Elephas maximus indicus: one gene and its partners. The protein of the gene in region 2 purifies or fractionates together with the protein of the main gene of each other region. This does not show direct contact. Links are inferred from orthologs where the notes say so. Each region holds a gene or a part of one and is shown on either strand. Other genes may lie near its edges.

Evidence for each region.
Region 1: the proteins of SMARCB1 (region 2) and BCL7A purify together in Homo sapiens (affinity purification with mass spectrometry; 7 studies listed by BioGRID and IntAct, counting the BioPlex papers as one, with this or other methods). This does not show direct contact. The link is inferred for Elephas maximus indicus from reciprocal best matches to the Homo sapiens genes SMARCB1 and BCL7A.
Region 3: the proteins of SMARCB1 (region 2) and SIN3A purify together in Homo sapiens (affinity purification with western blotting; 3 studies listed by BioGRID, with this or other methods). This does not show direct contact. The link is inferred for Elephas maximus indicus from reciprocal best matches to the Homo sapiens genes SMARCB1 and SIN3A.
Region 4: the proteins of SMARCB1 (region 2) and BCL7B purify together in Homo sapiens (affinity purification with mass spectrometry; 6 studies listed by BioGRID and IntAct, with this or other methods). This does not show direct contact. The link is inferred for Elephas maximus indicus from reciprocal best matches to the Homo sapiens genes SMARCB1 and BCL7B.

What each region holds. Positions count from the first base shown.
Region 1 is NC_064840.1:8,047,752-8,055,672, forward strand, and holds the start of BCL7A (B-cell CLL/lymphoma 7 protein family member A), read right to left. Parts: upstream 3,039-7,921; 5' UTR 2,855-3,038; coding exon 2,763-2,854; intron 1,573-2,762; exon of another isoform or gene 1,488-1,572; intron 1-1,487.
Region 2 is NC_064840.1:22,469,796-22,476,770, forward strand, and holds the start of SMARCB1 (SWI/SNF-related matrix-associated actin-dependent regulator of chromatin subfamily B member 1), read left to right. Parts: upstream 1-3,929; 5' UTR 3,930-4,116; coding exon 4,117-4,209; intron 4,210-6,975.
Region 3 is NC_064831.1:65,381,126-65,388,739, forward strand, and holds the start of SIN3A (paired amphipathic helix protein Sin3a), read right to left. Parts: upstream 3,009-7,614; 5' UTR 2,971-3,008; intron 29-2,970; exon of another isoform or gene 1-28. UniProt on the Homo sapiens protein: Acts as a transcriptional repressor. Corepressor for REST. Interacts with MXI1 to repress MYC responsive genes and antagonize MYC oncogenic activities. Also interacts with MXD1-MAX heterodimers to repress transcription by tethering SIN3A to DNA.
Region 4 is NC_064830.1:110,066,631-110,074,254, reverse strand, and holds the start of BCL7B (B-cell CLL/lymphoma 7 protein family member B), read right to left. Parts: upstream 3,010-7,624; 5' UTR 2,925-3,009; coding exon 2,833-2,924; intron 2,463-2,832; exon of another isoform or gene 2,248-2,462; intron 2,209-2,247; exon of another isoform or gene 2,107-2,208; intron 2,055-2,106; exon of another isoform or gene 1,980-2,054; intron 1-1,979. UniProt on the Homo sapiens protein: Positive regulator of apoptosis. Plays a role in the Wnt signaling pathway, negatively regulating the expression of Wnt signaling components CTNNB1 and HMGA1.

The DNA of each region.
Region 1 (7,921 bases), about 14 Mb from region 2:
CGAAGTCTCAGCCGTGGTGAAATGCATGGTTAACAGCCACGCAGTTAATAAACAACTCAAAGCCTCAACCTCCAACTGGAAGGCCCATTCTAAAGGTACAGTGAAGGTGAGATACAGCTACTAAACCCAAGCAGTGAAGAAAAGAAGCCTTTTTTTTTTTTTTTGAGCTCAGAGGTGGCAAAAAAAAAAAATCCGCAAGACTTTTACAAAGTCCACCTTATATCAACAACATTTAATGAGTGCTCCTACGTGAAAGGTTGGTGGTTCGAACCTACCCAGAAGTACCTCAGAAGACAGGCCCGGCGATCTGCTTTCGAAACATCACAGCCTCGAAAACCCTATGGAGCGGTTCTCTGCACACAAGGGGTCGCCATGAGTCAAAACTGACAACTAAAAACAATGTACCAGGAGTTCCCAGGTGGTGAAAACAGTTAACGCACTTGGCTGCTAACCCAAAGGCTGGAGGTTTAACTCCACCCACAGATGCCTCGGAAGAAAGGCCTGGCGATCTACGTCCAAAAAATCAGCAGTCAAAAACCCTATGGAGCACAATTCTACACATGGGGTTGCCATGAGTCGAAGCTGACTGGAGGGCAACTGGTAATTGGCCCACGTGCTAGGACAGGTGCTTTTGGAGACCTGACTGTATTTGGTCCTCATCCACCCTAAGGGGCAAGGAGCACAGGACTTCTTTTTTACAATGGCTTTGACAAGTTGCATGGTAAGGTCACAGCAAGGGAGTGGGCTGGGAGCCCATCTGTTAGTTCCCACAGCCTGCCTGACATCTTTAAAGGACAAGACATGTTTCCCAAAACACAGGGAGGGAGAGAGACTCCCTCTACCCAAACACGCCTGGCTGTCCTGTGCAGGCTTCCGGGGCTGTCTGGTTCTGGGGCTTGCTGGGTAGAAAACCCCATCTCTCCATCTGCCTTCTGTGTGGAGCAGCTGGTGGGCCTGCAGGAGCAGCTGTCAGGGTGCAGGGCCTCAGCCAGGCTCCCACCCTGGGGCAGGAGGCCCCACCAAGCCTTCTCCAGCAGAGAAAGGCCGCCTGTTCCGGCTCCTTCCTAGCCTCCAGGATGGCCACAGAAGGGGCTCAGGCCCAGACACCAGTCCATTCTTTGCAACAGGACAACTCCAGCCTTCCCACCTGGGAATCCTACAGAAGACGGAGTTGGCAGGGCTTGTTTTCCAGTGGCTGCGTTTTAGCCTGCAGCTGTTTCTGCCATTTTTAAAAGGCTCCATTCCGGCCACTGTGTGCGCACAGGCCAGGGAAGCTACCGAAGCACCGGCGACTCGGATCTCAACTTTGAATAGCCTCCCTTCTCACGGTTCTGAAAATTCTTTGTCCCGTTGGAGCCAAACCCAGCCCACGGCCGGGCATCCGGCCATCCACAGACAGCTCTTTCCATAGGAGGCCCCGGAGCACGTGGACTTTATTGATTTTTCTCTTGCTTTTTTTGTTGGGTTTGACTCAGAAAGGACAGCGAACTTGTGACACTGCCGGACCTAGAGGCTCGGCCCCCCGTGATTTTTAGAGATGGAGGCGCGACTCAAGAAATGACACCCCAAAACGTAAATATACCCTGCCACCGGGCCTGCCCACCTTCAGAGCTTTAAATAAAGGGGCAGGGCGAGACCGTGGGTGCTGACACTCGGGGACAGCGTTGCGGCCGTTCCTCTCCCTCCCGTACCCTGGTGAAGCCGTGGGAGGAAAAAAAAATAAAGTTGAAACCCGGGAGCCTGGAGTTCTCTGAAAGTCTACCCCAACCTGGATCGGCTCAGCCTCGGGCCTGGCCTGGGGCCGATCAGGGTCAGACCCGCCGAGACCGGGGAAGGCTCTTAACACAATGATTACGAGGGCCACACCAGCCAGGAGCTCATTTGAGCTTGAAAACCACGCGCCCCCGACCCCAAATGTTCCTTTTGCCCCCGAGTAGAGAACAAAAACAACGGCTCTCCCTGCAAAACACACACGAGCTTCTGTTTTGGGGAAGGCAGGCGCGGCCCAGGAGCACTTTTGCTGCCTCCAAATCTCCTCCAGCCGTACCCCGCGCCCCGCAGCCGGTGCGGGTGGGCGGTGGGAGTGGGTGCCCGGCGCCCCGGCCGCCCCACCGGCATCGCTTCCTCCCGGCGCTCGCCCCCGTCTTTCTTCCTCGCCAAAAGCCCTCTCTCCAGGCAGCCCAAAGCGCTAAATTTAAACGGCTGGCGCTCTGCAAACTCCACAGACTCGAGGGCGCCGGGCCTGGGAGGCGGGAGCCGGCGGCGGAGACGCCGTGCGGGCAGGGCGCGGGGCCGGCGCTGCGCTCGCCGCCCGAGGCGCGCGGGGAGGAGACGCGGCCCGCTCCGAGCCTGCACAATGGAGCTCGCGCTCTCCGCTCCGCCGGCATCACGGCCCGGCGCGCGGGAAGCCGCTTTCATGTGACTTGCACAAAACGAAATGGCTTCTGGGCCGGCCCCGAGTCCCCTCCCGGCCGCGCGCCGTGCCTGGGCCGCCGCCGGTCCCGCCGCCGGTCCCGCCGCCCCGCGCGCCCGCCGCCTCCGAGCCGCCGCCGCCGCCGCGGCGCCAGGTGGGCGCCGGGCGAGCGCACCTGGGCAGCGGCCGCGGTCCCGGCTCGCGCAGGTGACCCGGCCCGCCCGCCACCCGCGCCAACTCTGGGCCCGCGGCCCGGGCGAGGGGCGCGGGCGGACCCTTGGGGCCGCGGAGACCGGGCGTCCGGGTTTTGTGCGGCCGCGGCACCCGGCGAGGAGGCGCCTCAGCTCACCATTTGCGCACTTTCTCGATAGCCGCCATGACCCTCTTGATATCATCTTTGGCCCGGCTCCTGGTCTCGGCTCGAACCGACCTGCCCGACATGGTGCTGGCGGCGACAGAGGCTGGGGCCGCGCCGCCGGTCCTGCTCGCGCTCCGCGGCGGCCACACTCGCTCGCTCGCGGCTCACTCACACAGACACTCACACACGCATTCACACACTCACACACACATACACACAAAGCCTGTGCCGCCGCGCGCCGGGCCCAGTGCGCAAGCGCCGGGCGGCAGCTGCACCGAGCGGGGGAGCAGCGCCGCCGCCGCCGCCAGTGCGGCCTCCGGGCCCGGCAGCGCCCCAGGCTCGGGCCGCGCGCCGCGACCCCGGCTTCTGCCCGGGGAAGGCGCCCGGGACCCCCACCCCGGGCGGCGAGGGGGCGCGGCGACCCGGGCCCCCGCGGCCGAGAGGGCACGTGGAGGGGGAGGCGTGGGCCGCGCGCGCGGACAAGTCCTCGGAGGCCGCAGGTGCTGGGGGTCCCTTGGGGAGGGCAGGCTGGCGGGACAGCCAGCCTGGCAGGGCGCGCGTTCTTTGGGAGCCAGCTCGGCTGCCTGTCTCCGGGCCCGGGTTCGTTGTAGCGGTTGCAATAATGCAAGTTTCCTGTGGGGCTCTTGACTTCTCAGAGTTGAAGGCGGCGATTCGGGACGCGAGTTGCTCTTGGAGAGAGTTGAGAAATACGGATCGCTGTTCGTTCGCCCTCTTCCCCGTTTCAACACGCGGGCTGACACCTCGCCGCCCCGACGCTGGGCCCTTTGGCTAAACTAGGATGGAAGGAAGGGGGCCTGTGGCAGATCCCGGGAAAACAGTTGGCCGTGCTTTTTAAACAGCTTTCTGCGTAGGAAAAGCTCAGTGACCCTCAGCCTTTTACTAGGTGCCCTTACCTTAAGATCAGGTGCCCTCGCCATAATTAAGATGAGGGGTATGCTGGGGTTTCCGTCAGAGAACTACAATTTAAACTGAAGCTGTTGATGGCACTCCGGATAAGTGCCAGGCTCCGGGAAGGTGAAAAGGACTGGCCAGCCCACGGAGAGGGCTTTTGACAGCAGTTTTCTTCCCATTAGACCTCAGGACAGCCCTGTGGAGGAATAGACGATTATCAGGACAGCCCAGGTGCCCCCACCTTTATGTTTGGCTGCAGCTGTTTAGATCTGACCAGCACCCAGTCGTGCCCCATGAGTGCTCAGGAAAATGAGAGGGGCAGCCTTAGCAATTCCAACGCCAGTCACTTCCAGGTGCGAAACTGAGTCCCGAGGAGTTATGTCCAAGGTCTTAGGCATAACCTACATCTCCAATTCTCACTCATCCTAATCTCAAGCAATTTCCCCCGAGGTTTGGTTTTTTTTGTAGAAGCTCTAAGGGGGAAGTGGAGAGGGAGACTGCGCGTGTCTTTCCCAGGCATGTCGTTTTACTTTTCTGAAACTCAAATTCCTGATGTGAAAATTAAGATTACAGCACTAACCTCAGTGACCCAGCAATTCCAGCCCTAGGTATATACACTCACAAGAATTAAAAGCAGGGACTTAAACAGAAACCTGCACATCAACGTTCATTGCAGCACTTTTCACACCAGCCAAAAGGCAGAAGCTTATCAACAGATGACTGGATAAACAAAATGTGGCGCATCCATGCAGTGGGGTATTAAGCAGCCATAAAGAGAAATGAAGTCCAGATTCGCTACAGCATGGACGAGCCTTGAGAATATTATGCTGAGTGGAGTAAGTCACAAAAGGACAAATGTTACATGATCCCACTTATATGAAATAGACTGTAAATGTACAGAGACCAGAGTTTATTAGTGGTTACCAGAGGTACAGAGAGAGGGAGAGTGGGGAGTCATTGCTTAGGGGGACACTGAGTTTCTGTTAATGGTGGTGGAATAATCTGGAAACGGACAGTGATGATGGTTGTACAACATGATGAACATGATGCCACTGAATTGTACATGTAAAAACTGTTGAATTGGCAAATGTTTTGTTAATATGTTTTTACCACAATAAAAATAAATTTTTAAAAAAGAAAGGCACTTAGAGAATTATCCTGAAGATTATATGGGAAACCATGGAGCAGCAGGCCATAAAACAGACGTCTGACTAGATCTAGCCAGCAGATATGTACTTTGGGCTGTGCAGGACTTTTAAAAATATTTTAATTGAAAATAGATATCATGTCAAAACCCCCAATTGCAATTGGTGAATAGATAAACGAAAATCCTCACGATAGAATATTATTTGGCCATAAAACAAAAGAAGTACAGACATATGCCCCAACATGGATGAATGCTGGAAGGCAGTGGAAGGCAGACACAGAAGGAAAAACACTGTCTGATTCCACTTAAATGAAATACCCACAATAGGCCAATCCATAGAACCAGAAAGCAGATTAGTGGTTGCCAGAGGCTGAGGAGCAGTGGGGATGGGGAGAGACTGCTAATAGGCATGGGGTTTCCTTCTGAAGTGACAAAAAAGTTCTGAAACTAGACAGAGGACGTGGTCGTACAACATTGTGGTTACACTTAATGCCACTGGATTGTAAACGTTAAAATGACTAAAATGGTCAGTTTTATGTTATTTGTATTTTACCAAAAGGAAAACCCAAATATCCAGCCTATTCAGAAATAGCAGTAGATCTGGCAACACTGGGCCCCCACTGTCCCCATCAAGGGACCACGCTGTGCCCTTCAGACGACGTCCCCCAGTTCACGAGTGTGCTCATCCAACCGCTTTACTCATTTGTGTTACCTGTCTGGCCCCTGAAGGTATTTGTGTTTTCGATCCCTGATTAAACTGTAAAACTCTACAAATGTTCTTTACAAATCTAGTATGTCACTTTTTATAGTTTCTTGTCCCCTGAAGATATTTTAGGACTCCTTTATTTTCTTCAACAAAGCGCAGTTGTTTTATAGCCTGTGTCTGATAATTCTAACATTTGAAGTATCTGAGGGTCTGTTTCTGCTAGTTCTTGCTCATGGTATCGTATTTCCTTGTGGTATGCCTGCTTCTTTTTGACCAGGCCAGACATTGTATTTTAAACGTGATTTATAGGAATAATTTGAGGCCTAGGATGAAGTAACTTTCCTTTAGGGATGGTTTATATTTGCTTCTCCCAGGATCCTGAAGGAACTGATGGTCCAGGGCTACCTCAATCCAAGTTCAGGGCTTGTGGTTCCTGGACCACCCGGGCCATGTAAATACAGGCTGCAGGGTGTATAAGTCGAATTTGCTTATTATAACCTATGGGTGGGGTCAGTGATGTACTGCAGCTGGCTCACAGGCTTGCGTTTCCCTCTTCTGTGTTTAGTGACCTCATGTTAATAGCTTGAAGTCAGCCATGGTGAGAATATTTACACTACCAAACCAAAAAACCAAACCCAGTGCTGTCGGGTCGATTCTGACTCATAGCGACCCTATAGGACAGAGTAGAACTGCCCCATAGAGTTTCCAAGGAGCGCCTGGTGGATTCAAACTGCCAACCCTTTGGTTAGCAGCTGTAGCACTTAACCACTATGCCACCGGAGTTTCCATTTACACTACAGCCATGGGCAAATGCTATAAATCAGGATCCTCCTTCCCCTTCCCCACCCAGAGCTGTCTGTTAAACATTTGCCAGTGTACCACCCCACTAGTGTCCACTGGGGCCCCAGGTTATTGTGGGGAGAGTCTCCCTCATCACTGCAGCCACCGTGTCAGTCCATCTTGTTAAGGGTCTCCCTCTCTTTTGCTGACCCTGTTCTTTATCAAGCATGATGTCCTTCTCCAGGGACTGGTCCCTCCTGATAACATGTCTGAAGTACTTGAGACGATGTCTCCCCATCCTCGCTTCCAAGGACCACTCTGGCTATATTTCTTCCAAGACAGACTTGTTCATTCTTCTGGCAGTCCATGGTGTATTCAACATTCGTCACCAACACAATAATTTAAAGGCATCAATTCTACATCTGTCTAACTTATTCGTCATTCAGCTCTCGCGTGCTGAAAACATAGTGGCTTGGGTCAGGAGCAACTTAGTCCTCAAAGTGACATCTTTGCTTTTTAACACTTAAAAGAAGTCTTCTGCAGCAGATTTGCCCAATGCAATACATCATTTGATTCCCTGACTGCTGTTTCCATGGGCACTGATTATGGACACAAGTAAAATGAAATCCTTGACAACTTCAGTATTTTCTCCATTTATCATGATGTTACTTGTTGGTCCAGTTGAGAGGATTTTTGTTTTCTTTTATGTTGAAGTGTAATCCATACTGAAGGCTGTGGTCTTTGATCTTCATCAGTAAGTGCTTCAAGTCCTCTTCACTTTCAGCAAGCAAGGCTGTGTCAGATTACCAGGTGCTTCTAACTAGTTTTAGTCTGGAAGCTCTTGCAAGAGCTGAAACCTGTCCACCAATTTCCTCCTCTTGCTATCTCATATACCAGCAGGGTCACCCTAGGTGGACGGGTTTCAGCTGAACTTTCAGACTAAGACAGACTAGGATGAAGGACCTACTTCTGAAAAAACCAGCCAGTGAAAACCTTATGAATAGCAGCTGAACATCGTCTGATACGGCGCTGGAAGACGAGCCCCTCAGGTGGGAAGAGCTGCCTCCTCAAAGTAGAGTCCACCTTTAATGACGTGGATGGAGCCAAGCTTTCTGCACCTTCATTTACTGATGTGGTACCGCTGGAAACGAGGAGATACAGCTGCAAACATCCCTTAATAACCAAAACGTGGCACGTACAAAGTATGAATCCAGGAAAATTGGCAGTCGTCAAAAGTGAAATGGAATGCATAAAGATCCATATCCTAGGCATTAGTGAGCTGAAATGGACTGGTATTGGCCATTTTGAATCAGACAATCGTATGGTCTGCTATGCCAGGAATGACAAATTGAAGAGGAATGGTGTTGCATTCATCGTCAAAAAGAACATTTCAAGATCTATCCTGAAGTATAACGCTGTCTGTGATAGGATAATATCCATACGCCTACAAGGAAGACCAGTTAATACAACCATTATTGAAATATGCTAGGATTTGCAAATATCTGTGAGGTGAGAGTGGCCTCTTTGCTGGAGTCTCTTTCGGGGTTCTCTTTTCCCTTCAGTTTCAGCCTGATAATTCCTCACTATCTTTTCAGCACATTGTGG
Region 2 (6,975 bases):
TGCCATTTCCCTGGGACCCCCAAAGCCCTGTAAATGTGTTGTGTACAGTGTGTACAGAGCCTTTTTTACTGAAGGACTGTCATTAAACACACTCGTTTTCTACCTGCCTGTCTGGTGTCTCTCTGTGGCAGCATGGCTAGGCAGGGAAAGAGTTGGCCTTGGTGCAGGAGGCCTTGCTCCCTCACTGTGAGGCAAGGCTGCAGCCTGCCTGCCCCAAGCCTCTGGTCCCAGGTACTGGGTTTAGTGTTCAGGGCGCCTCCTGTTTATCCTCCATCATGCCTCGCCTGTCAAGTGGACTCCCACCCAAGGTGACACCATGTGTGTCAGAATAGAACTGTTCCATCGGGTTTTAAATGGCTGCTTTTTTGGAGGTAGGTTACCAGGCCTTTCTCTGAGACACTTCTGGGTGGACCTGAACCTCCAAACTTTCACGTTTACTGTTTGCACCACTTGGGGACTCCTGACACCTGTAGTGGCTTTCTAATTGGCTCCCTGCTTCCAAGCTTGCCCCCTCTGTCCTCCACGAAATAGCCATTTTATGAGATCATGCCCCACCTTGCCCCTATTTTAAAATGCTTTGCTTTCCCACTGCTGTCAGGACACAGAACAAGGCTCAGGGGGACCACGGCCCACCCTCCTGACTCTCCAGCATCTCCAGCCCACGCTGCCCAGCCCCACATGTGTCTTCTTCATAGCACTTACCACAGCAGCAAGGCCACTAGGATGGAACCAGATGCTGCTATCAGGCCATTTCAGCCTAGTAGATCGTTCCGAGGGATACAGCCAATACTCTGATGCCACTCAGCAGGGCTGTCTGGTTTCACTCACCTATACCCGCTGGGCTTATTGTAGTCACACACCAGAGTGGAGGCAGGAACAGAGGTGTCCCTCCTATGTACGAAATTTTAAAATTAGGGTGCCTGATACTTCTGAGGGGGGCTGGCTCAGGTTTAAGCCCAACTCCATCTTGTATCTTTTCAGACTCTCGCTTGTCCTGCTTTTTTCCTTAGCAACAGTTAAACTTTGTGTAGGCTACTGAAATACCAAATGTTTTTCTCAAACTATAATTAACCTTTAGAAGCAACTTGTCTAGTTTCACATAATTGTATTTAGGTAATCAGGCTTATTAAAATACTTGAAATTTGTCCTCTCAGGAAACGAGATTAATGAACATGTTTCCAAGACTCCAGGAGTCTTCTAGTCATGGCTCTCTGATCTTGCAACTGTCTTAGCCACATTTTGATTTTTCTGTTTTTTATAAAGTTTGAGTACATACTGCCTTCTTATAAGCCAGAGCTAGGCTACCAGTGTCAAAAGTACACGTGAAACTAGGGGGAGGGAGCTAACAAACCCCATTGGGTAAAATGTTCTCCAAAGAACTTTCCCTTAAGCAAGTTAATCTTTACCACCTGTTCTCAAAACAAAACCCACATCTAGCCTTTGAACAAATCAGAAAAGTTTCCCCATTTCCAGATATCCCACCCTCAACTGTTTTACCTCACTAAGCATCAATCGGAAACCCTGGTGGTGTAGTGGTTAAGTGCTACAGTTGCTAACCAACCAATTCGGCAGTTCGAATCCACCAGGCGCTCCTTGGAAACTATGGGGCAGTTCTACTCTGTCCTATAGGGTCACTATGAGTCGGAATCGACTCAACCGCAATGGGTTTTTTTAAGCACCAATCAGAGTATTATGTTGCTAGTTCCTGGTTTAACAATATAAATATTGCATGGATGCCTGTAACTCTTCGAGGCTTTAGATTTCACTCTGTGAAATCTAATGTTTCCCCAGTTTAAAATGTATCCCCCCCCGCGCCGTATCTGTCAGTTTGTCATACTGTGGGGGCTCACGTGTTGCTGTGATGCTGGTAGCTCTGCCACTGGTATTCAAATACCAGCAGGGTCATCCATGGTGGACAGGTTTCAGCTGAGCTTCCAAACTAAGACAAACTAGGAAGTTCGGCGATCTACTTCTGAAAAAAATTAGCCAGTAAAAACCTTATGTATAGCAGTGGAATATTGTCTGATATAGGGTCAGAAGATGAGCCCACAGGTTAGAAGGCACTCAAAATACGACTGCGGAAGAGCTGCCTCCTCAAAGTAGAGTCAGCCTTAATGACAAGGATAGAGTCAAGCTTCTAGGGCCTTCACTCAGTGATGTGACATGACTCAGTGAGAAGAAACAGCTGTAAACACCCATTAATAATTGGAATGTGGAATGTATGAAGTATGAATCTACAAAAATTGGAAGTCATCAAAAATGAAATGGAACACATAAACATTGATATCCGAGGCATTAGTGAGCTGAAATGGACTGGTACTGGCCATTTTGAATTGGTCTACTGTGCCAAGAATGACGAATTGAAGAGGAATGGAGTTGCATTCATCATCAAAAGAACATTTCAAGATCCTGGAGTACAACGCTGTTTAAAGTCAGGAAAGGTGTGCGTCAGGGTTGTATCCTTTCACCATACTTATTCAATCTGTATGCTGAGCAAATAATCCAAGAAGCTGGAGTATATGAAGAAGAACGTGGCATCAGGACTGGAGGAAGGCTCATTAACAACCTTCGACACGCAGGTAACACAACCCTGCTGAAAGTGAAGAGGACATGAAGCACTGATGATCAAAGACCACAGCCTTCAGTATGGATTGCACCTCAACCTAAAGAAAACAATCATCCTCACAACTGTACCAACAAGCAACGTCATGATAAAGAGAAGAAAGACTAAAGTTTTAAAGGATTTCATTTTACTTGGATCCACAATCAACACCCATGGAAGCAGCAGTCAAGAAATGTAAGGATGCATTCCATTGGGCAAATCTGCTGCAAAAGACCTCTTTAAAGTGTTAAAAAGTAAAGATGTCACTTTAAGGACTAAGGTGAGCCTGACCCAAGCCATGGTGTTTTCAATTGCCTCATATGCATGTGAAAGCTGGACAGTGAATAAGGAAGGCCGGAAGCATCAATGCCTTTGAATTATGGTGTTGGCGAAGAATATTGCATATACCACGGACTGCCAAAAAGAACAAGCAAATCTATCCTGGAAGAAGTACAGTCAGAATGCTCCTTAGAAGCAAGGATGGCAAGTCTTAGTCTCACATACTTGGACATGTTATCAGGAGGGATCTGTCCCTGCAGAAGAACATCATGCTTGTTAAAGTGGAGGGTCATCGAAAAAGAAGAAGGTTCTCAACAAGACAGACTGACCCAGCGGCTGCAACAACGCACTTAAGCATAACGATGATGTATGGTGCACGACCAGGCAGTGTTTTGTTCTTTTGTACATCGGGTTGCTATGAGTCAGCACTGACTCCACCACACCGAGCAACAACAAAACTGTACCTTGCCTTTAATAAACCTCTTTACTTTTACATTAACAGTATGTACAGTTTTTACTCTTTGACACTCCCCTCCCACACTCATCTGATACACCAGCCAAACCAAATGCAGCTACATTCAGGCCCCTAGGCCTTTGCTCATGCCAATCCCCACTTCACTGTTGTCATTTTACCCACCCCCACAGCCGCAGAACCAGTTGGGTGTGGACCTGGCACATTTGTTTTCATGAACCCTCTTAGTTGCTCGGCAGCACTGTACTTCAGGGTGGGGAAACTGAGGCTGGCCTAGATTCAAAAAGTACTGCCAGGTTTCCAGATATAGTCCTTTCCTCCTCCTGGCCTTCAGGTCCCCCTTCATTCCTCCTCCACTGGGCAGAGTTCCAGTCCTTCCTGTGAGACTTGGAAGCCACCGCCTGAGTCAGGCCCTCAGCTGCTATTTTCTGTCGGCTAGAAGCTTTTCAATGCACCAGGACTTTGGGAGGCAACCAGAAGAAAAACGGGTCACGGTTCCTTTAAGGAGCCGGAGGGGAGCGCGCCCCGATCTTTTGTCTGGGCGGTGGCGCGCGCGTCTGCGTCAACGCCCGCGCATGCGCATGGAGAGCGGCCTAGGCGGCGACGGAGGCTGACAAGTCCACAGCGACGCGAGCACCAAATCTGGCCCAGCCTTCGCCTCCCGGCCTCGGTTCTCCGCGGCGCGGCGCGGCTAGTCCCGGCCCCGCCTCAGCCCTCCCGACCTTTCGCAGCCCGGCCCCGGCCGCCCGCTTCCGCCGCCGCAATGATGATGATGGCGCTGAGCAAGACCTTCGGGCAGAAGCCCGTCAAGTTCCAGCTGGAGGACGACGGCGAGTTCTACATGATCGGCTCCGAGGTACCCGCGGCGCGTCCTCGCCCCACCCCGCCCCGCAGGAGGCCCGGGGCGGGTCTGCGCGCGGGGGGCGGCCGTCTCCATTCATCGCGACGGGCGCGCGCGCGTGGCCGGGGCGAGGCCTTTCGGGGGTGTGGTCTGCCCAGGCTCCGCCCCGGGCTCTCGGCGTTCTGGGTTGGCGTTCGGTTTCCGCGTGGTCCGGGGCTCACCCCGCGTCATGGCTTAGGTCCTGCGAGGTGCCAGGGGACCGCCTAAGCTGGTCCAGCGCCAGCAAAGACGCAAATAAAAGGGGTGTTGTGGGTTGTTTTTTGTGGCTAGTCCCTGCGGTGCATGAAGGGGTCACAATGTTGCCCTTAAGTCTTTTGAGATGTTGACAATCTCATGTGCACCCCGCCCCCATTGTTCCGTCTAAGATCCTGAAATCGCGGGTTGGAAACCTGGGGCTTAGTGAGGGCTCCTGCCGGTTTGTGTTCGTTGCCGCGGAGGTGGGCCAAACCTACTGCCGTCAGTCGATTCCGACTCATAGCGACTCTGTAGGAGGGACATCTCTCAGCACTTCCGAAGCAATTGACGTTTTGGAGATTTGTGAACGGACTGACCTGAATTATTAAGGGGAGAAGGTTCTGTTCTTTAATCCTCAATTCGAAGCGACAGTACTGTGAGCCAGCTGGCGAACTGGCTTTAGGAAAATCCTACAACCGCCCCATCTAACGGGGGTTTGTACTACGTTAAGTTTTGCCAAATTGCCTCGTATTAGTCTTTTCTCACCTAAAGTCAGTACCCAACTAATATATATTTCTTTTTTTAATTGATGGGTGTAAATAAAGTTTACACGTGCACATGTCACACCGTTGAGTTTCTTATGTGACAAGGTAAGTGCCAATCTTGGAGTGCGAACACAACCACAAAATGCCAAGGGTCTCTTCTCTGTTGTAGCAGGTTTCAGTGTCATACTCCAACATCTCATTCATGCTTTTTTTAAAGTGTCTTTCCTTTTCTTCACCACTGAGCATAGCATGAAAGAATCAAACCTGTGATTGTCACGCTGAGGCTGTCAGGACCCCTCATGACTCCCACCTTGTCTTAGTCTGTGAGGCCGGTGTTGTCGCTTACCTCAGAACTTTAATGTTTCACCAGTTTTTATAAAACAGGAGAGCGGGATGCAATAAATTCTTCATGTTATCACATAAGTGCTGCTGTTCAAAGAAGGCTTAGCTGCGGACATGTTGCCAATTTCTGTCCATCTTCCCCTGCTCAGAAGGGGCCTCACCAGCTGGTCGGCACCCACCTACATTCAGGGCTCAAAAAGGAGTTTCCGAATGTGCCGTGGTGCAAGCTGTTTAAGGATAAATCTTTACCTGACCTAATGGTAAATTAGAGGGTTAGCTTTTCGCTTACCCTCTACGAGATGGAGTGGCACAGTAGCTGCAACGATGGGCTCAAGCATAACGATTATGAGGATGGCGCAGGACCAGGCAGTGTTTCGTTCTGTTGTACATAGGGTTGCTATGAGTCAGAACTGACTTGACAGCACCTAATAACAACAATGCCCTTGACTTGGAGTGGGTGGTCCTCTTGAGAAGAAAGCTTCCCATGATTCGGTGGCGTAAAGTAATTGGGAAGAAGCAGCAGCCAGGTGGGAAGACCATTGGAGGCCTAGTTCCAGCCTCCTCCGCCTACATCATTTTTGTCACCTATATAGTGAGCATGGTCTCGAAGACCTTCCATGTGACACACTTTAGGTTTCTCGAAAGCTAACAGCAGCCTTTTCTTTCAGCCTGTTTGCTCCTGGCCCAGCTTGTTGAGTGAGAGTGATTTCATGAGGGTCCCTTTGTGCCTGGTCCAGTCTGTAGAGCCCCAAGTGGGAGAGGCCTACACCTGTTCTTTTGGGCCAGGCTTAACAAGCATCAGCCATTTGGCATTCAAGGGAGGATTCAAGAGCAGAATGCTATCTGTGGATACTCAGTAGCTCTGGTGACTGTTGGATAGATGGCCCTTGGACCCCTTGCCCTTGGAAACAGACTCTGTGTTCAGAGAGGCAGGCCAGCCATGGTCACATCCCACCCCACCCCCAACGCCCTGTGCGGTACCCCGTGGAGCTGCCTTGGGTGGCATCTGCAGTTGCTGTGAGTGCGTGTCCTTATTCTCCCGCCATCTACAGGCAGCTATAGTCACCAGGCCAGGTCACAAAGCTGAGAGGACCCTGAGAAATCACTAAGCCTAGTACCTTCATTTGACATTTGGGACACCTGGGTTCATAGAGGGCCAGGGCTGATTCAGGGAAAACCCAGGAGGACAGTCGCCTGAAGGGGTCTTGGGAGGGGCTGAGGAGTCCCAGAGTCCCGAGGGACCTCCAGGGTAGTAATGGGGGACACTGTGGTCAGTTTCTTTTCAAAAACCTCATGGGAATTCTGTGCTTACCCTTGGGTGGCACCAGCACACACAGGCCAGGAGGTTCAGTGGTTGGCATCTGTGCTTTCTATCTGAAGCAGGAGGGGCTCATGCTACACAGAGACTCTGGTTGATGCTTATACACATCTTTACTCGTGAAATGTGGAGAAACTCGTTTTCACTTAATAAATATACTATGCTGGGTGGGTAAAGTGGGAAAAGTCATAGCAGTGATCTTTTGTGGGACTGAGTTCAACGGTGCTGAAAATTTGACCGAGGAGTCGAGGGACCCAGAAAGGGAAAGCAATCAGGGTCTCCAAGGAAGCCAGCACCTGGCCCACAGGCCACTGGTCATGGGGCGGGGGTGGGGGGCTCTGA
Region 3 (7,614 bases), on a different chromosome or scaffold from region 2:
ATATCCACACTTGAGATAGGATAAAAATCAGTTGGGGGCAAAAGATAACAATTGTTGTTTTCTTCCTCGGCTAAAGTGTGTTAATAGCAATCTTCTGACCCTTTCGGTGTAGGTAATAGTGCCTCGAACACACAGGGAGACAAAGTGCTTGCGATAGCTACCTTGCTTTTATTCATTCACCAAAAGAGTTAAGAACTGACGCTGGCCATGGTTTTGGGGGCGCTCTCGCAGCACCAGGAAAGGGGGCGGAACTAGAGCCTTCCCGCTCACTCCAGCAAAAAGGCTACTCCCCACAGAGAGGCGGGTGGGTCCCGAAGTGGCAGGCCGCAGGGAATCTGCTCCTAGATCCTCCTACCCTGTCCCCCGCAATCCAGCGGAGACGGCCAGAAACGAGCTCTGGCAACAGGTGGGCCTGACTCCCAGGATGGTTCTGAGCCGCGGTGCCACGGCGGCGAATTGTGAACTCCACGACAGGTGGGAGCAGCCTCGCCAGGAGTGAAGCCTTGCCCCCAGACGGAGCTCTAAAAATAAGTCAGGTCTACGAAAGCAACCCCCGGGCCAAACGTCTCTGAGGTTACAAAGAAAAGGCATTTTGGCAGAACATATCAAGAGGTGCCTTTAACCCTGGACCGGCCCCTCTTCCCAGGACTGGATGCCGTAAGTCGCTCCCACCTAGACACGGAGAACCACTCCGAACCCGAGCCAAAAGTGGACTGCCCTACAGGGAGATGAGCTGTCCTGGGTCATGCCTAAGACTCCCAGGCGAACCCGAGACAGCCAACAACGCCAGCCACCTTGCCCTGTGAAGAAAAAACACTGCCAGCGTGCGCAGCGATCTCTAGCTTAAGCTAATGGCAATCCCCTGGAAGTCAGGGGCCGCCGGTGTGCGAGAATAGCCAGGCAGCGGTCAGAACTTTAATACGCAGCCCCAGCCGGGAAGGGCAGATTTCACCCTCTCAGCTCCTGCAGAATCCCTCAAAATCCACTCCACACGGTCATCCCCTAGTTGGACCACGAAGGCCAGCAGACTTCGATCCTTGGAGGGATCTTTGTGTGCCTGCTCTGCTCGCGCCCCCCCGCCCCCTCTCGCCCCCGCCCCCCACGCCAAGGGCGCCGAGCTCAGGACTTCCGGGCGGGAGGGCAGTTCGAAGGAGCGGGGCGGGCCCCATACATGTGCGAAGCGCGCACACGAGCGAAGGGAGGGGGCAGGGACGAGTGGTTGGCTTTTTCCTCCTCCCAGCTCGCTCCGCCGGAGGAGGCGGAACTATTCATTTCACCAATTAGAAATAGGGGCGGGACCTTGCGCCTCACGTAAGCCGCAGGAATCCTCCCTCCGCCCTTCTAGGAAAAAAATCCTAGCAACTTAAACTCCGGCCCGGCCTCCCGATAGGCGGAGCTCGGGAGAATGTCACCCAATTGGTAACCAAGAAGAGAAAAAGGGAGTCTCGCCCAGCCAGTAGAAAACAAGAGGAGGCGGAGCCTCTGGAGGAGCCCGAGGTGGGTGGAAGAGACGGCCCCGCCCTCAGCTACCCTCCTGGCCGGTTGCACAAGGCTCCGCCGGAGTATAGTAAACAGGCTGGGCCAATGAGTGGAGGCAGGGGCAATCCCGGTGCTCCAGGGGTCCGGTCCCCTCTGCCTCCTCAGCCGGCGTCCCCGCCCGACCCCCGCAGTTCGCGCCGGCGCCTGCTTCCCCGCTTGCAGCCTGCCGGAGGCCGCCATCCCGACTGACAGGCGCGCTCCCTGCGCCCCTCCCCGCCCGCTGATGCATTTCCTTTTCCCGATTCCAAGCGTGGAGTCTGTTTTCCCTGTTTCCGACCTTCACTGCCCCTTTCAGGCCACCCCCTCGGGGGCGCGCGCAAATACGCCCGCGCCCGATTCGAGGCCGAGCGGCCCGCAGCGGCACCTCGCGGGAAGGGGGAGCCCGGCAGCGGCACGGCCGGGGGAGGGGGAGGGAGCAGCCCCGCCGCCGCCGCCGCCGCCGCGGGGTGGGAGGGAAAGGAGGGAGCTCCATGTTTGCAAGGGGATCAGCTGGGGCTGCGGGTCGGAACCGCCGAGTTCCTGGAGGTTTTCCAGACCCCCGGGCCGAGCTCAGCGCCGGTTCGCGGCCTGGCGGGTTCCGGCGCCGAATGCCGACTCCACCGCCACAGCCCGGGAGTTCGGAGAGCTCCGGCCGGCGCATGGGGCTGTTGCCGAAGCGCGGGGACTCTTTCCGGTGGCCTCTCCCGCCGCCGGCCGCCCCTCTCGCAAGTCCGGCGTTGCCCCCGCCCCCAGAGTCCCTAACAACCGCTGGCCCTCGGCGCCCGCGCCTCCCGGGGGCGCGCCCACCGGCCCCTCCGACAAGTTTGCGGGCAGAAACAAAACCCCTGGGGTGGCTGCCGCCTTCGTGCAGCGTGGTTAGCGGGGAAAGCCGCGGGCCTCGGCTCGCTTGCTAACTCCAGCTCTCGACCAACTCCAGGCACCGCGAGCTCAGTGGGCCCGGCCAACCCGGCTCGGGCCGCCGCCCCCTGCCGATCCCGCGCGCCGCAGCCCGGGCCTGGTTCCAGTCGGTGTACGGAATCCCCCATTTTTCTTTACAAATTTTTTCAAAAGGGAGGGACATTCCAGGAGCGGGGAATCTCCTTCTGCCTACCCCTTGCCCATTCCGCCGCCGAAACCTACCGAAACCGACTGCTCGGTGAAATAAACTAGGGAGCACGGCTGGCGCCCTGGCGACCCCAGGCCGGGCCGGCCCCCTCCCCACAGCTCCCGCCCGGCTTGGAAACACACTGGCAAGCGGGCGGCGCCAAGAGCTCTCCTTCCTGGCCTGCCCCTCGCCTCCCTCAGCGGCCGGACTCCGAGCCTCCCCCTGGCTCCGTCCCGGGGCCCGTGGCGCCCGCACCGCCGCGGGCTGGCCAAAGCGAGCGGCCATGGACTAGCCCCCCAAACGCCGGAGATTGGGGGGACCAAATTAAAAGCAGCTGTTTAACATACCTTCCGAGCCAGGCGAGGAGTCCTGAATGGGGGGGAACGCCCCCCACGGGCCATTGGCTCCCCGCTTCTAACGTCAGTCATCCTGGGCCCGCCTTCTCTCCTTGCCCCGCCTCTTCCCCTTCATTGCACGCCCCCTCCCTCCAAAAAAAATATAAATAAACTCTCCGCGAGTGGGCGGCACAACTGTGGCAGAGGTCCCTGTCTTCTCAGTCTTGGAGTTTGAGGCCCTCGAGCCGGAGGGAGGCCTTCTGGGACTTGAGGATCCGCAGGTGGACCCGGAGGAAGAGGGAGCTGGGCTGCGCGGCCCCCACTTCCTTCACACACACACATACACACCCTTCAGAGCTGGACGGAGAGGCGGGAAAGGGCACCCTAGCGCCTGGCTGGAATATCTGGCTGTGACCTAACCGTGTCCGGTGCCCTCTGTTATCGCCTAAAAGTGAGTGATGCAAGTGGGAATCCCTGCGTCCAGGACAACAGGCACTTGTCTGAGCACCTTCGGGTGAGGCAGACACGTTAATACCGCGCCTGCTGCTGGGTCCGTTCACAGAGGCCGGATGAGAGGCTCACTCCACACCGTCCAGGGACTCCCGGTCCAGCCGAAAAGATGATACAGAAAAAGCTAACTCAAGGCAGGAATGTGTACATAAATAGACATCTCTAGGAGCTCAGGGAAGGGAGATTCCTTCCAGCTGAAGGAAAATTAGGAAAGGTTTCATAGAGGCATTCAAGTTGGGTCTCGAAGGAGATTTCACCAGGCAGAAATGGAAGGGCAAGTCATTTTTCAGCAAAGGGCACAAAGGGGTAGGTGTGAAACATTGTTAAGGCCCTTCAAGTGCAGCTGGGATAGTTAATGAAAATTAAGGTTGGAAAGATGGGACCAGAGGAAGGCTTATAATATTTGGTTAAAATGCTTGGACCTACACAGCTGAATGTGTTTGAACAGGGTGGTCACAGGGCCACACAAAAAGGCCCAGAATTCTGGTCTAAGATGCTCAGCATCCCAGCGGCTGGATGGGTTCTGAGGGTGGGCTGAGTGAGGAGTGCCTAGGCTGTTGCAATGACTGGTTGGAAAGTACAAGAGGCACATTGTAGCGCTCGAGTCAAAGCGCTACAGATTCTTCCCTGCATCATTTGCCGAATTTGTCATAACTCCCAACCAAAAGGATTTCTGGTGGGGGGGAGTAGGAGGCACCCCACAGGCCTGTGCTTAATAGAACTGAGCCTGTGTTCGAGGTCCAAAATGTGTGAGCAAGAAAGACCTGTTAATTGAGGCAGCCCTACCCGCATTGGGGCAGTGAGGAAAGGAAACTGGTGTGGATGAGGTGGGATGTGCAGAGTATGATGGGCCTTAGAGGCCTGTGGGCAAAATGGGGGCTTGCTGCTGTTTAGGAGGCTGCCTCAATAGTTCAGGTGAGCTGTAATGAGGACCTGACTGGGGCAATGAGAGTGGGGAAGGAATAGGAGAGAGATGTGTTTTGAGAAAGACTCAAGGGGAGCGGGTGACTGGTTCAGTGTAGGTAGTGGAGGGAAGGAAGTAACCAGTAGCATGCTGTGTGAGGAGGTGTATGAAGAATTTGTGGCTAGTGGTTGGGTCATCTGGGTTCTAAGCCAGTGACTGGTGACATATCCTTAGGCAAATCCCTTTCTCCCTCTGGACCCATTTTCCCCCTGTGAAATAGGGGTGGAAATTGGAGTAGAAAGACATCCTCTAAAAACCCTTCCCTCTGAGTTCATGTACCTGCCCCAGGTGCGTGTGTGTTGGGGTCCGGGGGATCCTTCCACTAAGAGAAAGGGCAGGTAGGAAGGTGATTTGGGAAATGTAGTGGGTCACCCCAGGAGTCTCCGCTGATGAGATCATTGAGGGGAAAGGCCAGGAGATGAGGACTGTGTGTTTAATGGCAGGCCATGGAGGTCAAGCTTCACTCTCAGACCAGAGACCCCCTGATGTCTGGAGCCCCCATCTCAGATTCCTGCTGTATTACCAAGGGGCTCTGCCCTCACGGAAGGCATAGCAGATACCAACCGAGTCAGTGTGGGATGAAGCAGAGTGCTAGAGCAGTAAGGACGCTAGCTTGGAAGTTGAGCCCCCTGGTCCCCACTCAGTCCCTTATTATCTGTGGATCAGCCTCCCCTCTTGTAAAAGAGGATAACATTATAATCCTTGCCTTGCTGTTCTCAGGCTTGTTATGGGGATAAAATATGATGATAAAATGCTCTTTAATACACCTGAGTTTCTGTGCTTCTGTGGAGACCAAGGACCCAAGCATTTGATTGAGCCTGGGAAGCAAGTAGTGTGCTGTGGATGAAATTACTTACAGAGCATTTGCAACTAGAACAGCTGCCCCCCACCCCAGAGAACCAGGTTTCCCTGACACTCCCAGCTTTAAGTGTACCACCTTGTTGCGGACTCCCCCCTCAACACCCCTAAACTGACCTCAGGAGTTACCTTGGAAGGGCTCCAGTGATTGTTTCTGACTCAGTACACTGATGCCTGCACAGCCAACCCCAGCCTCTGTGAGAATAGTTGATTTGGTGACACTGGCCCTCCAGCTACACTGAGGGTTGCATCCACATCCCCCTCTCCATGCCAGTGATGACAGAACAGTGAATATACCTGGGTGAGAGCCCTTCTTGGAGAAGTCATGTTGGGATGCCAGGTTCTGATTCCCAGGAGGCCTCTTTTGTGTGAAACATCCCACAAGTTTTTTGAGTTAGGGATTCTTAACCTTATTTTCCAGATGAGTAAACTCTGAGGCTCAGAGCAGTAGAGTGACTTTCCCGTGTCAGGTGGCCAAGTCTATCCGGGCTCATAGCCTGAGTAGCCAAGTCTATCCATGCCCAAAGCCTGAGCTGTGTCCCCACATGCTGTCTCCGTACACACTGGTGCCTGAGATGAGCTCCAGGTTGGGACCCCTACAGAAAAGTCTCCCCTCTTGCTCCACACTTCTCACCTCCATAAATGTAACAGCAGTTTGTCCCCAGAGAGTTCATTTCTAGCTTTTTCAAAAAAATTATCCTCCTCAAAGAAGCAAGATTTGTCTTGCAGTCACACACATCATATGTCAACTCACAATACACATACTCAAAACTATCACACCTTCTGACATCCACAATTTCACAGAAAACTCACACACACAAACACCCTCATTCACAAAAAGAACTCATTCACAGTTCTTTAGGGTGCTTATGGTGATTAGAGAAATTTAGAGCCTGCACTGCAGTGCCCTGCTGCCAGAACCTCTGGCAGCTGTAGAAGGCAGCCACAGCCTGCTGGGGAATATCCATGTGAGGAGCATTTGAGGCTTTACTTTGGAATCGGAGGCTAGGTCCCTACCCCCACCCCAAGCACCCTATAGCTTCAAGGGGAGAAGCTCAAGCTATTGGTCAGGATTCTGGTTCAGCCACTTCCCAGCTGGATGGCTTTATCTTTATCTGTAAACTAAGAATATCTACTTCGGTGGGCTGTTGTAACATTAAAGTATGCCTAGCATTTCGTTAAGACTTCTCCAACTTTTTTCGTCATCCCATCCTCACCCCCTCTTCTCCTGGTCATTCAAATGCAAAGTCCCTGAAGTTGGAGTCCTAGCAGTGAGTCCAGGAGCTGGCCTAAAGGACCAAACAACTCTACTATGTGAAGAAACTCCATTTCTCTAGCAACCAGGTGGTGTAGTAAGTTGTTTATATTCCATATTCTGATTCCTGGGTGGCCTTGGAGGCTTGGGAATTTTGAGTAGGTGTTAGACTGCCATTCTGTGTCTTCAAGTACCTTCCCCTCAGTGTGAGTTTACCCCTCTGGGTTGCTTCCAGCCCAAATCTGGAAAATCAATATAACTGTCTGTTTCCCCAGGTTACCTGGATTTATGCTTTAAAAGTGTTTCCTTCGTATATCAGTTGTTTGGTAATTATTTTCTTTAAGTGGCAGATGCCCTTGTTCAAATGAAATCTTGGGAGGGCTAATATGTAAGAGACAAAAAGTGGGGCTTGCTTTGGTTGAAGTGGCAGTCAGAGCACTCTAGTTTCTACTTTGCCTTCCACTTGTGCCTCCTCCTTCTGACAGCCCCTGCCCCAGGAAGACAGCTAGCGAACCCGTTTTTCCAAATCTTGTTCATTCATCCCAACCATTCCCCACCTCTCAACAGCCTGTGACAAGCCAGCCTGGCTTAGCCTCAGGTTACCTCTGCCTATTGCTCAGTATCACTGAGGGGCTTTTCTTCCTCTACCCATCTTCTAAATGTCGGTGGCCCCCACAGGTCTCTCCTCTCATCTTGCCCTCCTCAGTCTTGGCTGATCCCACCCACTACCAATGCTCATTGCTTCTATGTAGACAAAGTCCCAAATTGGTATTTCCTGTCTAGTATCTGTCCTGAACGTTAGACTCGGACTTCAACTGGCTCCTGGACACAGGTAGTCATTAAAGGTCAAGGAGGTAAAACAGAGACCCCACAAGATGAAGGGGCTGACCTCTGCTCCGTTGCACATCTGCGCAGTCCTGAGGCTTTCAAACTATATTGTGGCTTAGAGAGGCAGACAGGTTCTAAGGTGGGGGAGGAGTAGAAGAGAGTGAGCCTGGAATGGGGGAGGGGACACTGTGCCTTTTTATTCTTTTTTTTATATAAATATATACTACTGTTTAAATCTCAG
Region 4 (7,624 bases), on a different chromosome or scaffold from region 2:
TCTGATAATTTTCGAGATCATCTCTAAGTCTCCAGGCTGGTCTAGGCTTGTGCTGTTATGACACTGAACAGGTTACCACAGAGCTTTCAGACTAAGACAAGGAAGAAAGGTCTGGTGATCTGCTTCTGAAAATTAGCCAGTGAAAACTCTATGGATCACAAGTGTCTGATCTGCCACCAATCGTGAGGATGGTGCAGGATCGAGCAACATTTCATGCCACTGTGCATGGGGTCACCATGAGCTCGAACCAACTTGATGGCAGCAAACAATATATCCTTACGAAGTAAAAAATAACAGAGATTAACCACTACACTCACAAGATAAAAAAAAGGCATTAGGAAGGATAAAACTCTTGCCCAAGGTCACTCTCTAGATCACTATTAAGGCCTCACAACTCTAGCTAAACCTGATTACATCAAATGCCAGTGTTCTGAAGTGGCACACAGAAGCACCTTCAATGTGCTTACGTGTGTGCGCAGAAGAAACAAGGGAGACTACCCTTTGTTCCAAAAGGTTACTTCTCTAAGTATGCCAGACACAGAATGAATTTGTTTATTCTAAGAGCCACTGGTGTCCCTATGAGGTACCTGCTGTCAGCAGGAATGAGGGCCAGACGCAGAAAGCTGCTTTGCGACAGATGTAAAACAACTCTGAAGGTTTCAAGTCCAAATTTGAGATCACACACAAAAAAAAGTAACCAATGCTCTTCAGCAAATGATGACATCACAGAAATGGAGACAGACTGTGACGTAACAGAAAGAAGGATGAACTAAAGATTCAAGAAACTGGAGTTTAGTTCCAGACAGGCCACTCCATTTCCTCATTTGTTCAAGAAATATTTAACGTACAAATTCCTGTATTAGGCCCTGGGGTTGCAGCGAGAGAGGAGATACAGGTTCCTACCCTCACAGAGTCTGCATTCCAGCTGGAAACAGACATTAAACAACTATTTCAAAATCAGCCACTTAATCATTAATTTGAAACATATAAAATTGCCATTTTTGTAGATTAAATACTCAAATATAAGGCATTTCTCAGGGTTGTGTAAAGTTCTATGAAGCAGACCCGACCTAGATTGAGAATTTTGAAAAGTATCCCTGAGAAGCCAACTTTTGAACTAAGCTCTGGGAGTTAACCCAGGAAGGGGGTGGAGAGAGGGGAGGAGGAAGGATGCCTGGCAGCAGAACAGGAGTGTGCGACAACAGCCTCCTGGCAAAGAGGGCAGTTTGAGCGAGACAGGCAAGGCAGGAAAGATCTGCTTTGGTCTTTATCCTGAGATAAGAAGACAAGAGGCCACTGAAGCGTTATTTTCTAACCAGGGGATGCTATGGTAACATTTTCACTTTAAAAAGATCACTCTGGTAACTGAAAATAAGAAAAACGAAATCGTTCCGACTGCAATGTGAAGTAGGGACTGGGTAGGCGGCCAGTGTAGAAGCAGGGAGATGACGGAGGCGCTGGTGCCGATGTCTAGGTGAAGATGATAATCTGGCCTCGGTGACAGGTGAGGACAAAGATGTCGAGGAGAAAAAAAAGGTGTACCGATTCTTACGTTTAACCAAAACCTAGGAGAATTAGATTTAGAGAGGAAAAATCATTTAATTTCGGAGTCCCAAATAAGAAGCTTTCTCTTGTTGGGAAATAGACAAACACACGAATACAGACCTGAGTAATGATGTCCCCAAAAGGGTGGAGGGTGAGGGGTGACGGGCTGGAGAAGGCCTCCTGGAGGAAACTAAGACCCATCCATCGGGGCTTCTGATAGGGAAAAGGGGAAGGAAAGGGCTCAAGGAGGCATCAAAAAGTCGCCCGTGAGTGTTAAATGCGATAACGCACCCGAGTTCCTGCTACAAGACAGGCGCTCATTCCGTCTCCAAACAAGGGCTAGGCCCAGGCCCCTCCACCAGCAGCCCCCAGGGCACGAGAAAGTACCAGCGGTACATCTGGACCGTACGCCTCGGAGGTGCACCTGGAAAGTACACCTCGGAGGTACGCCTGGGAGGTACACCTGGAACGTGCACCTGGGAGGTACGCCTGGGAGGTGCACCTGGAACGTGCACCTGGGAGGTACGCCTGGGAGGTGCACCTGGAACGTGCACCTGGGAGGTACGCCTGGGAGGTACACCTGGAACGTGCGCCTGGGAGATACCTGGGAAGTGCACCTGGAACGTACACCTGGGAGGTGCACCTGGAACGTGCACCTGGGAGGTACGCCTGGGAGGTACACCTGGAACGTACACCTGGGAGGTACACCTGAAAGATGTCAGGGGAGGGGACGGGGCCCGATGTCCGCGGCCAGGCTGGCTTCCGCCGGCAGGCAGAATTACGGAGGGCTCTTACCCAACTTAAGTGAGTTAACACAGAAAGCCATCAGGCCGTCACACTGGACGCTCAGCGCTCGCGAGCCTTTGTGACGGGGCAGCTGAGAAACAAGCCCGAGCACGCCGGGCGGCGGCGAGAACGCCCCGGTAAGCGAGAGGGCGCGTTCGTCCGGTCCGCGCGGGAACCCTGCCGCCGCGCAGAGCGCAAGACCCGGCAGACCGAGCGCTGACCGGAAGCCGGCAGCCCCTCCCGGGCGACGCGCAGAGCGCAAGGCCCGACGGACCGAGCGCGGACCGGAAGCCAGCAGTCTCTCCCGGGAGACGCGCGGCCAGGTGGGCGGGCCCACGAGCCGGGCCGCCCGCTCATTGGTTGCAGCCGGCGCGCCCCCTGACCTCACGCCGACGCGGGCAGTAGCCACCTCCCGCTTCCTGCTTGCCCCCTCCCCCAGCGCCCGCCAGTTCGGCGCTCCCCGGGGCCGGCCCCCCAGGAGCCGCCGCCCCAGCCCCTCACCATTTCCGCACTTTCTCGATGGCCGCCATCACCTTCTTGATGTCGTCCTTGGCGCGGCTGCGGGTCTCGGCCCGGACCGACCGGCCCGACATGGCGGCGGCGGGGGCTGGGGCTCTGCTCCCAGGACACGGGATCGCGCGCCGCCCGCCGCCCACCGCCCGCAGCCGCAGCGTCACCGCCGCCCTGGCCCCCTCCGTGCGCGCGTGCGCGGGGAGCGCGCGCACCCGCCCGCCCCTTGGGGCTCGAGGCCTCAGCGCGCTTGCGCGCCCGCCCGCCGCCGGCGGCCCCCGCTGGGCGCCCCGCAACCCCTTAGCCCCGCGCAGGCCGGGTGCGCGGCGAGCGGGCGGCACGTGCAGTGGGCAGGGCGAGGTGCGAGGCCCCGGCTCTTCAGGGGTCAGAGGCCAGCACCTGCCGGAGCGGCTCCTGCGGCTTCCAGCCTGTGGCCTGGACGCTGCGGGCCCCGGGCGCCTGGCCTGCCCCGGTCAGCGCCCAGCTCCCCGGAGAGGTCCCAGAGCGGGACACCTTTCCCCAGCAGGCCGCTGACCCTCGCACACACCTGATCCCTGCAGCTGCCTCTTCGCTGCCGACATCCAGCTAAAACTCAGACACCTCCTCCGAATTCCGTGGGGTCCCACCTTATTCTGCAGTCTTTGAGTGCGACCCACCTACACTACCACCTTGTTCACACTTGATCCCTTGTCTCATTTCGTGCAGCAGCTGACTAAATGATGCCGACTTCTGCAAAGTTCTGTGCTAAGTGCTGAGGACACAAGGATGTGTATTTCGCACCGTGAACTCCCGGGTTAGTAGAACGTGCAAATCAGAAGAGGTATTTAAAATGTCATGTGATACTTGCTGGCTAAGAGAAGTATAGGGTGCTTTGACAGCTCGAAGTTAGATGGGGGCTTTCCAGAAAGCTTGGGGAGGAGAGAAAGTGAGCTTGAAGCTGATCTCTGAAAACAGGGTAGATGCTATTGTTCCAAGGGCTAACAGTGTCCACAGGCATTGAAAATGCTCCTTAGACGTTTATCGACACAGCTAATAGGCAGAGCAGATGGAAGCTTTGCAGGTACGAGGGTCAAGAATAGCTTCTACCTGACTGAGGAGTGGAAGAGCTGCACCAGCAAGTGGAGGGAAAAGCTGACTGAAGAAATAATGGGATCAAAGGTGGCACACCTATTTCTCAAACCCAACTGATCCAAAATCACCCACCGCCTGAGCTCTGCCATGTGCCCCATAGCAGAGGACACTGTGGGTGATGCAAAGATGGGTAAGACACTCCCTGCCCTCCAGCTGAGGATAAGGAAAGCAACAGGAACATAAAACATAAGGCAGAACATGTTAAGTGCCAGAGAGAGGCCAGGTTTCTAGACGCCTCCAATTCTGTTCATAGGTTTCCCTGGTGCAGGCATACAGCCCAACACCTGGCGGTTATGTCTAACCTCTGTCTCACCCTTGTCCAAGTCCTGACCAGCCTCCCCCTGGCCTCTGGAGGTTTCTGGCCTGTAGTTTCTTTCCACCTAACAGCTGCCCTGGTCTCTGGCGGCATCCAACCCTCCTCCAGCCCACGCTGCCCCACTGCCAGTCAGTCACTTTTTCTGACCAGGCCATCCCCAGCTCCAAAGTCCCAGTGACCCATGTTAACTGCTCACATTTGTTCGCCCCCATCTCCCACTGCAGCTTTGTCTGTGTGAGAGAGTATCAAAGCAGGCACATACCAACTATTCCCCACAGACCACACAAATGGTGACCTCTTTTTCTTTTTGAAAGTCACGCCTTGACATTTTTGAGGTGAAAGCCTGTTGCTGGATCCTGAGGGGGATGCAGAGATCAGCCAGCCCAGGCCTCGTCCCTGAAGAACTTGCACTCAAGGCAATGGTTTCCCTTCTCAGAGGAAAAGCTATAGTGGCCTCGATGCCTCGCACCATGTGCCTGCCACACCCCTCCCAAGAATTCTCTGACCTCACCTCCTATAACTTTCTCCTTTGCACTCTCCAACTGCTCTGGCCGCCTTGCTAATCTGAAAACATTCACTCAAGCTCCTGCCTCAGGACCTTTACACTGGAGGTTCTTCTGCCCATCCCCCATATATGTGCATGGTTCACTCCCTCACCCCTGCCTTTAATCTTTACTCAAATGTTCTCAGTGCAGCCTTCCCTGCCCACCCTACCTAAGGCTGCCACATCTGTTCCACGCACATTCCCTATCTCCCCACATTTTTCTTTGGAGCATTCATCATCTAAAATACTATTTGTTTATGTTGGTTATTATCTATCTCCCGATTTCAGTTGCTCCATGAAGGTAGCAACATGGTCCATTAGTTCACTGATTGTCCCCAACACCTAGAACAGAGCCGGGCACTCAGTAGGTACTCATAAATACTTGTTGAATGAGTGAATGACCAACATCAATGCTTCCCCCTTCCATAAACCCTTCCCAGATCACTCCAAGCAGAAGGAAAGAGACCTTCCTCCCATGAACCCCCACAGGACTCTGAACACATTCTGTATTATACCCTGAACTCTCCTAAAAGGCAAGGATTTCCAAGGCAGTCTAGACAAAAAGCCACCCTGAAGACCACTGGTAGCTAAAGAAACCTGTTTGAGGAGAAGCCTCATGGTGTAGGAGTCTCAAACACGCTGAGGTTCCTCTCTCTTTCCTCCTTCATAGGTTAAGATGGGGGAAAGAGGATAAGAATCAATGTCTCCCTCCTTTCTGCAAAAGCCACTGGAAGGTCTACTCCTGTGTCAGGCCACAGAAACCAAAACACAGTGCTGAGGAGCAAAGAAGACGTGAGATGTTGTGAAGGATTCCCCGGGCACTCTAAGCAGCGACGGTGGAAACCCGTGGAATTCACTGAGAGAAGTTTCAGGGGCTAAAAAATGGAAATGATTCAAGGAGGCCTTCAAAACTTTCACAGGGGGTGGTTCCCTGGTACGTTGTTAATGCGAAGTACCAGGAAGCCAGAAACAAGAACGCGGCCAATGAGGACACAGCATAGGCAGAGAGAGCCCAGTGGTGCCCCGACGACCATGAGGCTCACCCAAGAAAGCTGTTAGAATGCAGATTCCTGGGCCCTATCACCAAGGTTTTGTCTCCATGGTTCTGTAGATGGCTTGTGCATGTGTTTTGTTTTGTTTTTGTTTAAAGGTATACAGTTAAGTTTAAAAGTTAAAAAATAAACAAGTCCCTCCCTCCTGATCCTGCACTCACCCTGTCCTTGTCACCCTCTGCCTAACCTTCCAGAGACAGTCTACACTGATACTGTCAACGTTGGCTGCACCTGGGGAACTCCAAAAAAATACCGATGCCGGGGCCCACCCCGGAGGTTCTGGTTTAGTGGTCCGTGGTGCAGCCTGAACGTTGGGGTTTGTTTTTTAAGGTTTCCAGATCACAGTCTTGTACAGCTGAGGTTTCGAACCATTGGTCCACATATTTACAAACATATATCCAAAAGTACATATTCCTTTCTTTTTCTACACAGATTGTAGCACACTCCGCACTAGTCTGCACCTTGATATCTCATGTAGTATATCATTGTATTAGCTTTCAGTTGCTGCTGTGACAAATTACCACATATTTAGTGGCTTAAAGCAACATCAATTCATTAGCTTACAGTTCTGTAGACAAGACGTCCAACATGGATCTCACAGGGTTAAGGTCAAGGTGTCAGCAGCGTGCATTCCCTTCTGGAGGCTCTAGGGGAGAATCTGTGTCCTTGCCTGTTGCAGTTTCTAGAGGCCACTCCCTTTCCTTGGTGTGATGGTTATAGGCCAACTGGGCGAGGCTATGATTCTCAGCGGTTTGTCAGGCACTAGGTAGTCACCTCCCATTTTGTGATCTAAAGTGAGTAGCCAATCAGTTGGAAGGGGCGTTTCCTTGGGGGTGTAGCCTACATCCAGGATGTAAATGGATGTTCTGGCAAAGCTCTCTCTCCCGATTCTGCATTCATCTCGTTGACGTCTAACGTCTGGATCTTGGGTCATGAGAAGACTTCAACCTGCTGCTGGACCTGCAGATTTTGGATTCACCAAGTCCTGAAACCCCATGAGCCATTAGCCTGCTGCCTGACCTACAGAGTTTGGGTTTGTCGGCCCCTGTAACCACGTGAGTCAGAAGCCTCCAGCCTGCTGCTTGACCCAAGGATTTGGGACTTGCCAGCCTCCACAATTGCTTGAGCAATTTTCTTGAATAAATCTCTCTCTGTATATTTACATATATGCTTCACTGGTTTTGTTCCTCTGTAGAACCTAGCCTAAGACACTTGGTTCATGGCCCCTTTCTCCATCTTCAAAGCCAGCAATGTCAGGTTGAGTCCTTCTCATGCCACCACCTTTCTGCATCTCTCTTCTGCTTCCCTCTTCCACTTTTAAGAACCATTGTGGTTATACTGGGCCCACTCAGATAATCCAGGATAACCTCCTATCATTTTTTTAAAAATTGTGCTTTAAGTGAAAGTTTACAGTTTAAGTTAGTTTCTCATACAAAAATTTATATACACATTGTTATGTGACCCTAGTAGTTGTTATTGTTGTTAGGTGCCATCGAGTCGGTTCCGACTCATAGCGACCCTGTACACAACAGAACGAAACACTGCCCGGTCCTGCACCACCCTTACAATCATTGTTATGCTTGAGCCCATCCTTGCTGCCACTATGTCAATCCATCTTGTTGAGGGTCTCCTCTTGTCCGCTGACCCTGTACTTCACACCAAGCATGATGTCCTTCTCCAGGGACGGATCCCTCCTGACAACAAGTCCAAAGTATGTAGGATGCAGTCTTGCCATCCTTG